2 linked regions of the Tribolium castaneum genome follow. The protein of the gene in region 2 binds, or shares a complex with, the protein of the main gene of each other region. Links are inferred from orthologs where the notes say so. Each region holds a gene or a part of one and is shown on either strand. Other genes may lie near its edges.

The links.
Region 1: the proteins of Kap3 (region 2) and Klp64D are in contact, whole or in part, in a crystal structure (PDB 9IKB), measured with the Caenorhabditis elegans proteins. The link is inferred for Tribolium castaneum from reciprocal best matches to the Caenorhabditis elegans genes kap-1 and klp-20. Residues at the interface, in NP_001367739.1 of Caenorhabditis elegans: Ile269, Glu272, Leu273, Val276, Arg277, Leu309, Ser310, Ile311, Phe312, Asp313, Glu314, Asn315, Lys316, Asn349, Phe350, Phe352, Asp353, Lys657, Ala660, Gly661, Arg663, Phe664, Lys665, His667, Asn668, Gln670, Trp671, Met674, Val675, Asp679; in NP_497178.1 of Caenorhabditis elegans: Tyr557, Ile558, Pro559, Val560, His562, Leu565, Ile566, Tyr569, Lys582, Ile584, Ala585, Tyr586, Gln607, Met611, Tyr612, Tyr613, Ser614, Tyr615, Arg616, Leu619, Ala621, Ser622, Thr623, Ala624.

What each region holds. Positions count from the first base shown.
Region 1 is NC_087403.1:3,792,184-3,799,464, forward strand, and holds Klp64D (kinesin-like protein KIF3A), read left to right. Parts: upstream 1-2,956; 5' UTR 2,957-3,073; coding exon 3,074-3,283; intron 3,284-3,328; coding exon 3,329-3,856; intron 3,857-3,902; coding exon 3,903-4,100; intron 4,101-4,687; coding exon 4,688-4,962; intron 4,963-5,007; coding exon 5,008-5,656; 3' UTR 5,657-5,761; downstream 5,762-7,281. Other genes in the region: uncharacterized protein LOC103313049, read right to left, coding at 2,289-2,671, 2,720-2,786; Atg4b (cysteine protease ATG4D), read left to right, coding at 6,007-6,169. UniProt on the Caenorhabditis elegans protein: Component of the kinesin II motor complex (composed of kap-1 and the heterodimeric motor proteins klp-11 and klp-20) which is required for intraflagellar transport (IFT).
Region 2 is NC_087398.1:9,876,993-9,884,100, reverse strand, and holds the end of Kap3 (kinesin-associated protein 3), read right to left. Parts: intron 6,837-7,108; coding exon 6,660-6,836; intron 6,608-6,659; coding exon 6,471-6,607; intron 3,978-6,470; coding exon 3,293-3,977; intron 3,244-3,292; coding exon 3,149-3,243; intron 3,096-3,148; coding exon 2,877-3,095; intron 2,832-2,876; coding exon 2,637-2,831; intron 2,591-2,636; coding exon 2,125-2,590; intron 2,073-2,124; coding exon 1,997-2,072; coding exon of another isoform or gene 1,993-1,996; exon of another isoform or gene 1,984-1,992; intron 1,938-1,983; coding exon 1,904-1,937; 3' UTR 1,808-1,903; downstream 1-1,807. Other genes in the region: E3 ubiquitin-protein ligase hyd, read left to right, coding at 1-553, 608-986, 1,037-1,249.

The DNA of each region.
Region 1 (7,281 bases), on a different chromosome or scaffold from region 2:
CGACCGCTTTTAAAGCCGGTCGTGAAAGAAGTCCGATGAGAGCTCGCAGTAGGATGGTACCGATTGTGCTGACCAGTACCGGATTTAGGCTGTGGAAGTTGGGCCTGTACAAGCTGCGGTTTCGCATTCTTCGACGTTACGTCACCTGGAGCCGACTTGTAAACAGTCTTAAGATACCGGTTTTCGCTGCTCTTTTGTTGACGGATTTCTTCATGCGTTGCTGTCCAGCCGGAAACGGAAATAAGGGAATCGATCTCGGGCCGATATTTTTCATACCTGACCTGTGCATGGGCGCATTCCGCACCTGTTGCGTCCGGAAGTTCATATAACTGAAAATGTCGACGATAAACAAGATACGAAATGTCAAATTCTTCCACTGGATGGGATGGTCCCTGACATCTCGCCTCAAACACCGTCAACCACGCACCAAATTTGCGGTTTCACGACAAACACATTTTTCCACCATTAATCAATGAATATGGAACGGTTTGGAGTACTACTACTCATGCTACCAGGAAAAACGCGAAAAAATCACAACAAACAAATCATTGTTTACTAATAATGAGTGGGGAAATTTAAAGTTCATGGAACAAACGCCACACGTGCTAAAAACTAATTTCCTCAATTACTAGCTAATTAATTCCTGGTTTGTTTGCCAACGAAGACATTTTCTGTATTAATTATACTTTTTAAATCACAATTATGAAACTGATAAAACCGAGGCGCAAGAAATAGATAACCGGAGTTCCGGATGATCGAACTTCTGCACCTTTAAAATATTTAGTCAAATAGATGAGTTTTGGTCAAAATCATTGGGATTAAAAGCTACATCCAAAATTTCATATCGTGATAGCACCCAGTAACGATAGAAATAATAATAAAATAATAATAATAATAATAGTAATAATAATAATAATAATAAGAAGAAGAAGAAGAAGAAGAAAAAGGGGTAATAATGAGCAAATTAAGTAATAAACATTAAAATATTATTTGCGGTTCTTTAACACAGAATTTTTTTCATAAATAAATAATAAAAAAATAAAACTCCTTGCTGATTATTAATGTGATTAATACCAATCTAGACATAGTTTTTAAACACTTGCGTATGCGAATACGATAACGTTATCTTCCGCAAAATATTTTTTATTCTGGTATGTAAACACTGTTGTGACACAGTCTCGCAAAATTGAGCCCGGCCCTGTCTCTCATTATTGTGTAGGGTAAATGAGAATAAAGTAGTACAAATTGATTTGTTCTTTTTTGAGCGATTTAATGACTGAGTGCATGTTGTCAGCGGAGTAATGGTAGTGCAAATTCTGCAATGTTTACTTAATGAGCTCCAGAAGAACCCTCTATAATTACTTTTCTATCAGCCAATTAAGACAAGAATTAAAATCATTAAAACGTAACAGTTTTTATTCGTGTCATTTTTTGAACTTCGTGTTTGATTTTACTTGTGCGCGAAGCTCATTATAACCGAGATTAAATTTCATAAACCTGGGGAATGTGGAATATGTCGCTATAAAATTTCAATGCATTGTTGTGAGTGGTTAAATGAAGTGGATCTCCCTTAATCAAGGGTTATTTTGATGTTTATATCCGCGCAATAAATTGATAAAGAAACATAAAACCGAGCAATAAACACAAATTATGTACGGAAAGGAAACCGTAATACAACATATTTTCTTTTTCGAAAACCTCGTACCGGAAATAGTTTATTATGGCGATTATGATATTTGCATAAATATTTGTGGATTGAGAAAAGTGGTTAGGAGCGGCGCCAGACAATCCGAAAATGGGCCCTATCAGGCCAGGCTTGAATATTCGAGTCGTTTTCAACTGAAAGTGCGCCGCTTCCGGAGACTGGGGCCGTTTCAACTTTTCCGAAGAAATTTCGAATTTATTCCGGCGCCGGCCTAAAAACTGCACCCGTATTGTGTGCCACCGATGCTAATTTAATCCCATCAACCTGTTAAACCAGTCTCAAATGAAATTATTTCGAAAATTAGGCATCTAGACCCTCTGTAACAAAAGATTTAATTGGAGAGCTGAAAAAACGACTCCTAAGTCATTTGCTCGATACAAAGCGCGGGTAAATTTCATGTTGTATGACTTCCGTTACCTCGGGCATTTCAAGAAAAACTGGCTCGCATCGTACCACCTGTTCATCAGATACCATCACTTAAATCACACAAAACCCGTTCATCAGTGCCGACAAAATGGCGGCAATCAAACGCGAAATACTGTTCACAATAAATTTATTCTGGTTATAATTCTACATGAAATTTTCAACGACGGCCCGGAGTGTCGTCTCCGTGCAGCCAGTCGTCGTCGGATCCGGCACCGTTGATGTCGCCGTTGGAGCAACTCTCGTCAAATGTGTTCACACACCGTTTTCCCGGGTTGTCGCCGCCGTTCAAAAACGCCTCGTCGGACCCAGCCCCATTTATGACATCGTTGATGCAACTTTCGTCAAATGTATTAGCGCAGCGTTTACTGGCCAGCTGGAGACGGTGGAACAAAGCGCCCCACGACTTGGCCGGGGCACTTCTGTAATTGACCCTCGCAGGGAAGTAGTGCAAGTTCGGGTGCACGTAGTAGCACAAAACTGCCGGCATGAGCACGAAAAGGAGCAAAAAGGCGGTTTTCATTTTGCTGAAACTATACGTTTCTACTTCAATCATAATCATAAATAATAAATAATATATTACTTACTCACCTATATTAGACCGAAAGGCACAGAAAGGACTGATTTTGCACGCATTTGCGCCCTTTTTTATACCCATCCTAATCTCAATATTAATTAAATTATTATTTGAGATTGCCCGGAATTAATGAATAGGGTGATTTGTTTTGCTCCGATTTATCATTATTTAATAATGCCCTTATCACTATCCCAACACCGGGGATTTAATTAGCTCGTTCGAGTGGCTGTTTACTTTTCGGCTGCCCCTTGTAGCTCGCAGCCTAAGACCAATTCAAACTCTGCGCGCTTGTAGCTGTCAGACTGACAGCTGACCCTAACCTAAATTTCCGCAATATTGATTAAATTTCCCGTAAAAAATAATCAAAAATGGCAAATTCGAAGACAGACGTGCAGACTGAGGTGGAAAACGTTCGTGTTTTTGTCCGAGTGCGTCCTTTAACCAAGAAGGAAGAAGCTGAGGGCCACCTAAATGTTCTTTTGATCGACCCTAAGGAGAATTTAATTGCTTTGAATAAAGACGGGGCGAACCCCAAACCGTTTAAGTTCGATCAGGTGTTTGGGGAGGACTCGACGCAGGTTTGTTTAGTTTCAAGTTGAATCAGGGCGAGGTTTTGTTTGCAGTTGTCGTTGTACAGAGTGATAGCTGTGCCAATAGTCGAGAAGGCTCTACAGGGGTACAATGGCACGATTTTTGCGTACGGCCAGACGGGCACCGGGAAGACGTACACCATGTCAGGGAATTACGCCAAGCCGGAACTCAAAGGCATCATCCCCAACACATTCTCGCACATTTTCAGCCAGATTTCGCGGGCCAGCGGCGAGACGTCGTTCGTTGTCACCGTCACCTACCTCGAGATCTACAACGAAGAAGTCAGGGATTTGCTGTCCACAGACCCGAATAAAAAACTGGCGATTCGGGAGAGGCCAGACGTGGGCGTGTATGTCAAGGATCTCATGGGATTCACCGTTGACTCGATTGAGTCAATTACCGAACTCCTCAACAGAGGAAACAAAAACCGCGTCACTCGGTCCACTCTCATGAACGACGTGAGCTCGAGATCGCACGCGATTTTTACCATAACCATCGAGTCGAAAAACAGAAGCAGCAATAAAACCACTGTTGGCAAACTCAATTTGGTTGACTTGGCTGTGAGTCGGTGCCAGTGTGAGGGGCGCTTCTAAGGCCAGTTTTTAGGGCTCCGAGCGGGCAAGCAGGACCCAAGCCACAGGCGAGCGGCTGAGGGAGGCCAGCAATATTAATCTGTCGCTCTCGGTGCTCGGAAATGTCATTTCGGCACTCGTTGACGGCAAAAGCAGCCACATTCCGTACAGAAACTCCAAACTGACGCGGTTACTCCAAGACTCGCTGGGCGGAAACTCCAAAACAGCAATGGTATTTTTAATTAAAGGCCCTGTTATCACGTTAAACCTCATTTAAATAAATTTTGAAAACCGTTTTTCAATATCTGTCTCAGTTACTGAGATAATCGCCAATTTAGTAGCGTTGCGCGCTGGTCGTGACGTCACTCCTTCCTCACTCCGCTCGTATTACAATAGTATTATGGTTTAAATCAGAAATATTTGAGATTAATAAATTATGCAACCTGCATTAAGAATTGAGGCGTGTTTTTTTGCAAACTTCGGTTATCATAGATTCAAAAATAATGTATATTCTTAAAAAAATTAGTAATGCCGATTATTTTTTTATACTTTTAAGGGTTCTAGAATGGTTTTTGAGAAAAAAGGTCGCTTAAAATCGTCAAAATTTGAACTGGGGGCGTTCAGAAGCAAAATGATGAGCATTCCGCCGCGGCTAGGGCAGGTGTGACGTCATCAGCTTTACGAATTTAATTATTTTCGGGCTTATTTATTGCGGTTTTCGCTAAAATTCGTAGAAAAAATGTGGTTTTTATTTTAGAAAACGTTATTTTGACCTAACAGGGCCTTAAATCAGTTGGAATTGTTCAACTGTGATTTTAGATCGCGATGGTGAGTCCGGCGGACATTGACTACGAAGAAAGCATTTGTACGTTAAGATACGCCGCTCGAGTCAAACACATCCAAAACCATGCGCGAATTAACGTCGAACAGCGGGGTCTTATTGAGGGATTCGAGCACGAAATCGCCGAATTGCAGGAAAAAATCCACTTATTGTCACTCCAGGAGCAAAAACAGCCCAAGAAAAAGAAAGAGCGGGCGTCGGCCCACAAAGTTGAGGAACTGAAGAAGTGGGAAGAGGAATTGCAAAAAACTGAGTACGTGTTGTCCCAGTTTTGAAAACCAAATAAAACGGTTTTTAGGAAGGAAAAGAGCGATTTGATGCAGAAAATCTCGCTGATCCAGAAGCGGATCCTCGTCGGCGGTGAGAACCTGTTCGAGAAGGCGCAGCACCAGGCCTTCCTGATCGAGTCGACGGGGGCGGAGATCGAAAACCTGGACAAGAACCACCAACAGCTGGAGGAGACGCTGAGCAAGAAGGGGCAGGAGCGCATCGACGTGGAGGAGAAGTACTCGAGTCTCCAGGAGGAGGACGCCGGGACGGGCAAAAAGATCAAAAAAGTCCAGGCGTATCTGAACGAAGTCAAGGAGGAGTACGCCGACAAGGAGCACGAGTACCAGCGCGAAATGGAGGCGCTGCTGGACAACAACCGGCTCCTGGTCCGGGAAACCCAGCTGGCGTGCCTGATGATCGACAGCTACATCCCGAAGGAATACTTGAAGAAAATCGAGGCCAATTTGATATGGAACTCGGAGACGCAGGAATACCAGATGCGCGGGGTGGCCTACACGGGGAACAACATGCGGAAGCGGCAGTCGGCCCACTCGGAGTGCTTCACGCCGGTGAAGTTCGAGATGAAGCCGGTGTACCACAAGTACCCGGAGAAGAAGCGCGAGCGCAAGATGGTGTACGAGAAGCGGTCGTTCTCCGCGGTGCCCAAAGCCCGCTAACTGTCGCCGGATTATTTGTGTTGTGTTAATTTGTGATATTAATTAGGCCCGACTTTTTATTTATTTGTGATTATGTTGTACTTAATAAATCTATTTATTGCCCAATGGTGTGTTATTTGCGACGGGAGTGGGGCGGTTTGAATTTGCGCGGCGGGTTTGATTGATGCGATTGGACGGCAGACTTGGAGGCGTCCCATTGTCACTTTGTTGATGGCGAGCCGTGGTGTTGTTTCACAAATAAATAAACCACAACAAAATGTAAATCGGAAGTTTCGAGCGAATACGTCGGTGGCAAGTGAACTGTGGAATTTGCGTTAATCAAGATATTGTTGATTCTTATCATTGATAAAATGAACACACAGGTGGTATCAAGAGAGCGATCAATTTTTTTGTCCAAACTTAGCTTCCCAACAAGTTCTTCTGACAGTCGTTTGCAGGATGAAGGGAACAATTCGGACGTCGAAGGCAAAGTCAAAAACAGACTCCTCTCAATGTGGAATAACGTGAAATATGGTGAGCCACTCTAACCTAACTTATTCATCGCCGAACTATGTGCAAACAAAGGCATTTCTTGCCCTGATAGCGGGTGATTCACTTATTTCATAAATCAAACGCTATATTTAGTGCAAGTCTGCTGAAACCACCGACACAGCGATTTCAGCGAACCGGAAGTCTTGCCAACAAAAAATTCCGTTACAAAACCAATCATGTGATAAATGTTGTAAATCACTCAAAATATTGTGAAAACCACAAATCCTTGATGATCCCCTTCATTATTATTAGTATCACCTTCAAATTGCGTACACAAGCAGGGCCGGACTACTCCCTTTTGAAACCCAACGTACTAATTTATAACTCTACTAGAGCTATTTTTGCTATTCTGAGTTGAGCTATTTTGAGCTGGGTCGAAAATGGTGTCATTTAGCACTGAAACACTTCAAAACCCTTTTTTTGGCACTAATAAATTTGCCAAAAATTATATTATTTCTCCTTATTTTCAGCCAACACATCAAAACGCAATTATTTTGCCAGATTTAAATAAAAATATGCCAAAAATTTCAGTATTTTTGCTTTTTTTAACCGCTGTTTAACTAGAAACGCGACTATTTTGAGGAATTTTGTTCAAAATAAGCTTAGAAGTCAGGCAGAACCGAGATAAAAACACGTCATATGGTAAAAATAAATTTTCCTGACGAGTTGAACACAAAATTTAGCAAAATTCAGTGAAAAATTTCACATTTTCAATATTAATAATTAATTTAAGTGTGGAAAATACCAAGTTTTTCTGGTTCAGTTAAGAAAATTTGTTATTTCCATGCTCAAATAAATATTGAAAAGTTACAGAATTTTTCCTCGAATTTTACAAAATGTTTTGTTATCTCAAGCGTTTTATTGTGTTTTACAGAAACGCAATTATTTTGCAAAATATCTCAAAAACAGCAACAAAAATCACTAAGTTGGATCGAAAAGCAAAGTATTTTAATATTTTGGATATTTTAGCGTATTTTTATTCGAAAACGCAGTTGTTTAGTGTTTTACAAAAATTTATTGGATCGAAAATGATATGATTTTAGCATTTTGCGGTATAGTCGCACGTTTTTGATTAAAAACGCAGTTATTAAGGG
Region 2 (7,108 bases):
TATCACCAGCTCAATTGTTGCTTCTTTTAGCGTCCGAAGACTCGCTGAGGGCCAAAGTTGAAGAGGCGGTCGAAATGATTCTAGCACACTTACATTCCCAGCAAGAATTGACGTCGGAAGCGCTGCTCGAATTGGATGTTTTTACGTTGACTGATCGGAGTTCGAGCTCGCGGAAAGGATCGGGGCGTTCGAGCGGAGGAAATGATAATTCGGTGGTGGAGGAGAACGTTCAAGATGAGGAGGATAATGCACCGCTGTTTTACTGTCCGGGAAAGAGAGGGTTTTACGCTCCCAGACAGGGGAAAGCGACGTTTGAACGATTGAATGCGTTTAGAAACGTAGGGAGATTGATCGGATTGTGTCTACTACAGAACGAACTTTGTCCGATTTTCTTGACGAGACACGTTTTAAAATCAATTTTAGCGAGACCCATCAAGTTCCATGATTTTGCGTTTTTCGACCCGATTGTCTACGAGTCGTTGAGGCAGTTGGTGGTGGACGCCGAAACGAAAGATTGTAATAATTTGTTCTCAACGCTTGAGCTCAATTTCACGTAAGTTAAAAATTATTGGGTGTTGTATTATTTTATTATTATGGTTGGTTTTAGAATTGATTTAAGTCCGGAGGAAGGTGGCGGTACAGTCGAACTGATGCCGGGTGGTAAAGATATTGAAGTGACGTCGAGCAACGTCTACGACTACGTTCGGAAGTACGCCAAGTATCGGATGATTAAAGTGCAAGAAAAAGCGATCGAGAGCATCCGAACTGGCGTCCTCGATGTGTTGCCTGAAGGCTCCTTGGACAGTTTAACGGCCGAAGATCTTCGGCTTTTGTTGAACGGTGTGGGAGATATCAATGTGGCAGTTTTAATATCGTATACGTCGTTCAATGACGAGTCCGGTGAGAACAGCGAACGTTTAGTCAAGTTCAAGCGGTGGCTGTGGTCAATTGTTGAAAAGATGACGCATCTGGAAAGGCAGGACTTGGTAAGTTTGTTGTTTAGTCTGCGGTCGGTTGAGTTGACTCTTGCGTTTAGGTTTATTTCTGGACGGGTTCTCCGGCACTTCCGGCAAGCGAGGACGGCTTTCAGCCGATGCCTTCGGTGACGATAAGACCAGCCGACGACGCACATTTACCAACAGCAAACACTTGTATATCACGTTTATATATTCCACTTTATAGTAGTCGCGCAGTTCTTAGACAGAAATTATTACTTGCCATCAAAACAAAGAATTTCGGTTTCGTGTGATCATGGGTTGATTGTTTCGTTTAATTTTAGTACGAATTTCAGTTTAATAAAATTGTTTTTATAAGTTGTTTATAATTTTGTCATGAATATTGTGATGATTTATAATTTATTTCGACTAAGCTAAAGTGATAATCTTGTATATAATCTCATTTTCATGTTTCAAATCATGGACACGACCTATGCGTATGTCTAAAAACAATTCACACTTTTTTCAAGCTCAAAGATTTCTCTTTTCTTTCGGTAAATCACTAGTCTTCTTGCTTGTATGGGTTACTTTTAACTTTTTGCACCCTTTATTTGTTGTGCCAACCCTGTTCAGGTGCATTCATGTTATTAGTATTATTGTAGATAATAGTTTTAAGAATTTTCTTATTTATATCATTTTTTTGGTTCCGTAAACTTAGTTATGTTTTATTAATAAAGTGTCTCGTCCTTACGTTTTTTTAATTTCATAATTTCAGATGGCTTCTGTATTAGTATCGAAATAAAAGCAGTTATGTATACGAACGTGGTTTTATTCAAAACAACTATCACAAAAAACATAAGTAACGCCTCTGCTGGAAGTACAAGTAAATGTTTATTATCAATTACATAAAAATTAACAAGAAAATGTATGACTAGAAAGCTGAATATCACTTGTGCTCAAGCAAAAAATTAAATGGCTTCAATTTCAAAGTCCGGAATGACCCTGCAAATAAATTAACATCAGGAAACCCACTCACTGACATTCTTACCAAACAAACTTACTCTGGTCTATCAAAATAGTCAAAGTCTATGTCTTTTTGTGAGATAAATTCCGATTCTTGTGCATGTTCATTCAAATCTAAAAATCGAAAATAAAACATTTACTTCAATCACCCAAAACTGGCACCGACCTGACAAAGGCGGGACCACTGCCGTTCCCAGAAACTCCGTATTCAGATACGGTGGCAAGGCATCCTCTTCGTCGTCCTCGTCCTCGGGACCCAACTGCTGCGAATCGACCATTTGTAACCACTGCGCGTTATGATGCCTGAATTTTTCAATTTTGATCCTTTCCGCCCAAGTTTTACTATGCTCGGCTATTATATTAAGACACGTATTGCACAATTTCCTAATGGACTTGTTATTGTCTTGGAGTAAATCGATCAAATAGGCCGGAGCTTCGGTTTTCTCCGCCAGATAATCAATATTCGTCCCGTGAGAAATGGTCGCGAAAAAAACGAAAATTATTTGAAGGACGATTTCGTCGTCTTCCTGGTGCGTCTTCAAGAGTTCGATCAAAGCCGAGATTATGTTCGATTCGCACAAGAGCTTGGCACAACCTTCGTCGGCTGCAGCCGTGCCTAATAAAACTACAACCTACACAAAAAAATTATTAAATAATTTGCAATTTTGTCATTATTACTTGTAAAACCAACTCGGGGTCGGTGTTATTGTTACGAATCACTTTTTCGATCCATTTTAACATATCGAAGTGTTTGAAAATTTCCGCCCAGTCCAGCTCGGGTAAACTGAGGTTGCTTAAAATTCCGACACATTCGACTACGAAATCGTCTTCCTTTGACTCGACTACGGCCTTTGCAATGTCGCCTACAAACTCCTAAAAAATTTACTTAAATCGTGGATTTTTAAAAGGTGCACGTACGACGAAATTAACTTTGGATGATTTATGCTCTGACAAATTCCTCAACATTTTCATCAACATGTTATCTTGATAATTGAAAGCCCTCATCATTAACGATTGGACGCGATTTTTTTTCATCATTTGTTGGGCGTTTGTCGGGTCCGTGGCCAAATTGATACAAAGTGCGACCATAACTTCGTCACCTTCGTTTCCAATATTAAGTAATAACATGTCCGTTATCTTAAAAAATTGAATTGTGCAAAAAGCGATTATTTTTAACGTAACGTTTTTACCAAACCCACACATTCGGCAAATTGCGTTTTGACGTCATCGTCGTAACTCAAATGGTAGAGTAATTTTAAAACAATCTCCTGATGACGATCATCGCCTTAAAATACGCCAGTGAATTACACGCCGACTGCTTTTACTCAACTCACTTAATAAACTGATAAATTTCGGTAGAAGTCCAATTTGGACGATTCTAAACCTCAATTTTGTATCAAACGACAAATTAAACAACAATTTCAACGTCAAATGCACCAAGTCGGGACTGTTGGACTCCAGCAATTTCGGCAACTTCTCCACGACATTCATCCCGGCCATAGCGTCCTTATTACACTGCATAATGGACAACTTCTTCAGGAACGTCACCACCAGAACCAACAATTCCTCGTTGTCCCTCTCCAGAGCCTTGACCAACAACCCCACGATGTTCCTCTTCGTCATTTTCTCTTCAATACTTTCGTCTTCGGCGATATTCAGCAAGAGATAAAACGCGACACGGAGCAGATGTTCTTGTTTTTTCACCAAAGTGCGGAAACGTTTCGCCTTTTCCGCTTCGCTCAGTTTTTTATCGTCGATACTTTCCGTGGAAGTCGTCAAATCGTCGTAAACGCTGCCTTCCATCACGGCTTTAATATTCGCCTCGGAGAAGTTCCCGGATCGGGGCCTAACCGGCTCCGGAATGCGACTCCGGGGGATTTCGGAGAGGCTAGCGCTACTCGGACATGGCTTGCGGACGATGGGGATGTCGTCCGGGGCCTCAACGCCCTCCAAATCCGCCTTCCACTTGTCGTATCTTCGCAACTCGTAATCGATTATGTCCATACAGATCGAACCCACCTAAATGTGGTGCCCATGAGCAAACATTATTCAGCGACCAATCAAAGCTAATAAAATTAATTTTTAAACGGGCCATACTTTGGCCCTTGGAATTGTGTTTGAGAGTTTTTTGAAACTGGGAATAATTGCGTTGTAATAAAGCTTCGGAGTTGAACGGACGTTTGGGTAATTATCCTTGTTAAAGTAAAGGGCGCAGAAATTTGGTTTGGGGTTTGCTTTATTTAATTCGAATAATTGTTATGATGTTGCGTTGGGAATACGCATCCCTGAGCAAAAAAAACTGTTACGAAATGTTTTTTGTTTTATTAGATTAGACCGATTTTGAGGAAAATGATACGAGAATAAGTTAGTCTAAGTCTGGCTTCAGCACGAACGTTTAATAATTGTTGAAATCATTTCTAAACAGTGAGTATAAGAATATTTTACTAGTGATGTGATAGTGACATATTTTTAAGTAGAGTCGTAAAGTCTATTACTAAAATGTTTGGATATCATGTCACGAAGCACAATTTAAGTGAGTTGTTTGAAATTTTCAATACACATAATTAAAAAATGGGACAAAATTTGTATTCATTTCTACGAAGTAATATCTTTACAAAAATTGTGTTATGCAGTAAACAATTATTGTTTAAACATCATATTTCCTAAGCGGCACATAAATAAAGCTGTTATTTATTATCAAGATAGATGTGACCGATAAAATAGATACAAATACTGTTGCCTCAGGTGATTACTGATCACTGATCATCAGTGAAGAGAATAATAAATAATATTAATAATTAATAAAAAAATAATAAATTCAAATAGTTCCCAAAATAATTGCCTTTCTGGCTCGACAACGTGCTAAAAAGCTGAAAAAAACTCTTGACCTCTTGAAAACTTTTGACCTTATTAACTAATTTATTTTACTGAGTTAAGAATATCTCGCGAAAAAACAGACTTTTTATTTAAATTTTCAATTTACAACTCCTATTTTTAATACTTTTTGCGCAAATTTCGTAAAATAATCAATTGGTTGATTGAAAAATGTACATGTTTGCTCATAAAAATCAAATCTAACATTTTCGGCCCAATTCAGTAAATTTTCGGTCTATTTTATTATCAAAATTTTGTCAAATAATTACGATTTCAGCAAAAAAAAAATTGTATTTTTAAATTAATTACATATCATTTTTGGATTAATTATTGGCGAAATTTTGAAACGGTCACTAGGAAATAATTCCCAATCTTGCATATTCACAAATTTTTTTTTGCTGAATTTTATTTATTTATTTATTTATTTTTTTAATTCAAAAACCTGATACTGGTAACATACAATCATTAAAAATAAATAGCGAAAACTACAGAAAAAAAATTTGTAGTCCCAGATTTTTTAAAATATGATTTTTTTTTTAATAATTTCGGTAATCTACACATGCTTCTCAAAAACGTACCACTGAGTTGGTGCGTCGATTTTTGGGCACCCTGTACAATGCAAAAATAGTGAAACTATTTCATTTTCGATCCAGTTTATTGTTTTTTTAAACCAGTTTAGCAAAAATTTAAAAATTATCTGAATAATATGCTTCAGCGCTTGAAATATGTAAATAAAAATTGCGCAATTTTTTGAGATAATAATAATAATTTAATTTAATTAAATAATTCGCTAATAATTTTATTAGCGAAAATACCCGAAAAGGCAAAATAATATCCTTTTCGATACTATTAGTGATTTTTCGGCTAATCTTTGAGAAATTTTGCGAAATGATTCCGAAAAACGAAAAAACTCTGAAAACCAAAACCTCCCTAGAAGCAAAACTAAATATCATTTTGACTTTGCGGCTTATTTTGGACACAAATTTGGGCAAAATTCTTCAAAATAATGACGTTTTTGGGGAAACAACCTGTTGAAAAGGTCGAAAAAAAGAAAAAAATATTAATTTTTTTTACTTAACTCAGCAACTTTTCGTTTCACTTTAACAAAATCCGCTTGAACGCCCCAAAAAAATATATTATTGATTCATTTAGAAAAAATATAAGTTGCATATCTCATTTCTGACTGATAACATGCCCAAACCTTTAAAAAAAAAGGAGAAAACACTGTACCGTACTTTGTTATAAGAAAATTTGTCCAAAAAACTGAATTTTGATGAGTTAAAGAAATCGAGAAGGCTAAAATATAACTATTTTCGCCTAATTCGACGATTTTTTGGACAATTTTGACGCAAAATGCTTTGCAAAAAATAACCCCAGAACATGTAAATTAGTACGTTAAGTTCCAAAAGTAGGTTTAAGGGAGCGAGTTCTGCAAATGGTCAAAAGTACATATGTTGAATATATGGACATACATCCGCAACATTCTCCTAATTGTAGTATTTAAAAAAATAAATCAAGGCCAAATAAAGACGCAACTTTCTATTGTTGCATAATTTACCCACCTGTTTAAACATTTAATCAACTAATTGACATCAAAATCTATTTGCGCGAAATTTCGAGATTTACGACTTTGCTCACCTTACACTTGAGTATAACCTCGTGAAAACGTGAGTACATGGAAAAACAGAAAAAGGTAAACACCAGGTGTGTGCTTAAGACAATACTTCGTTTCCAATCCTCGCGTAGAACTCGCGCTAAGGCGCTTATTACAGTTTCTACAAACAAAATTGCGCCATTTCTACTTGAACTGATTGTGACATTATATACCATTTTTCGATAATGCGTCCAAATTTTCCGGGTCACGCGCCAAAAGCTGGATGAAGTGAGCGCCCTTGATTTTTTCAGACATTCCCTCGTAGAGCAGCTCGATGTAATCCGACAAATTGTTGTAATTGGGTTCGTCGGCGTTGATTATTTGTTTGAGATCATGGGAACTGTTATTGTCTGGAAATAATCGGTTTGGATTAGGGGCGGGCTCCAGATGGAGGTATTTCCAGAGTTTGAATCAAACAACTGAGCCGAGGTCAAATTATTATTGGCCATACTTTGGTCATTATTTCCAAACACCTACGGCTACTTCATAATCACAATTACTTCTGTGACAATATTTTGCACAACCTTGAAACTGATAAAATGTGTCTTTATAACAATAGTCTTGTGAATCACGACAATGCAACGACAAAAAAGGAACAGAAAAATGTTTAGTGCCAAAAAAG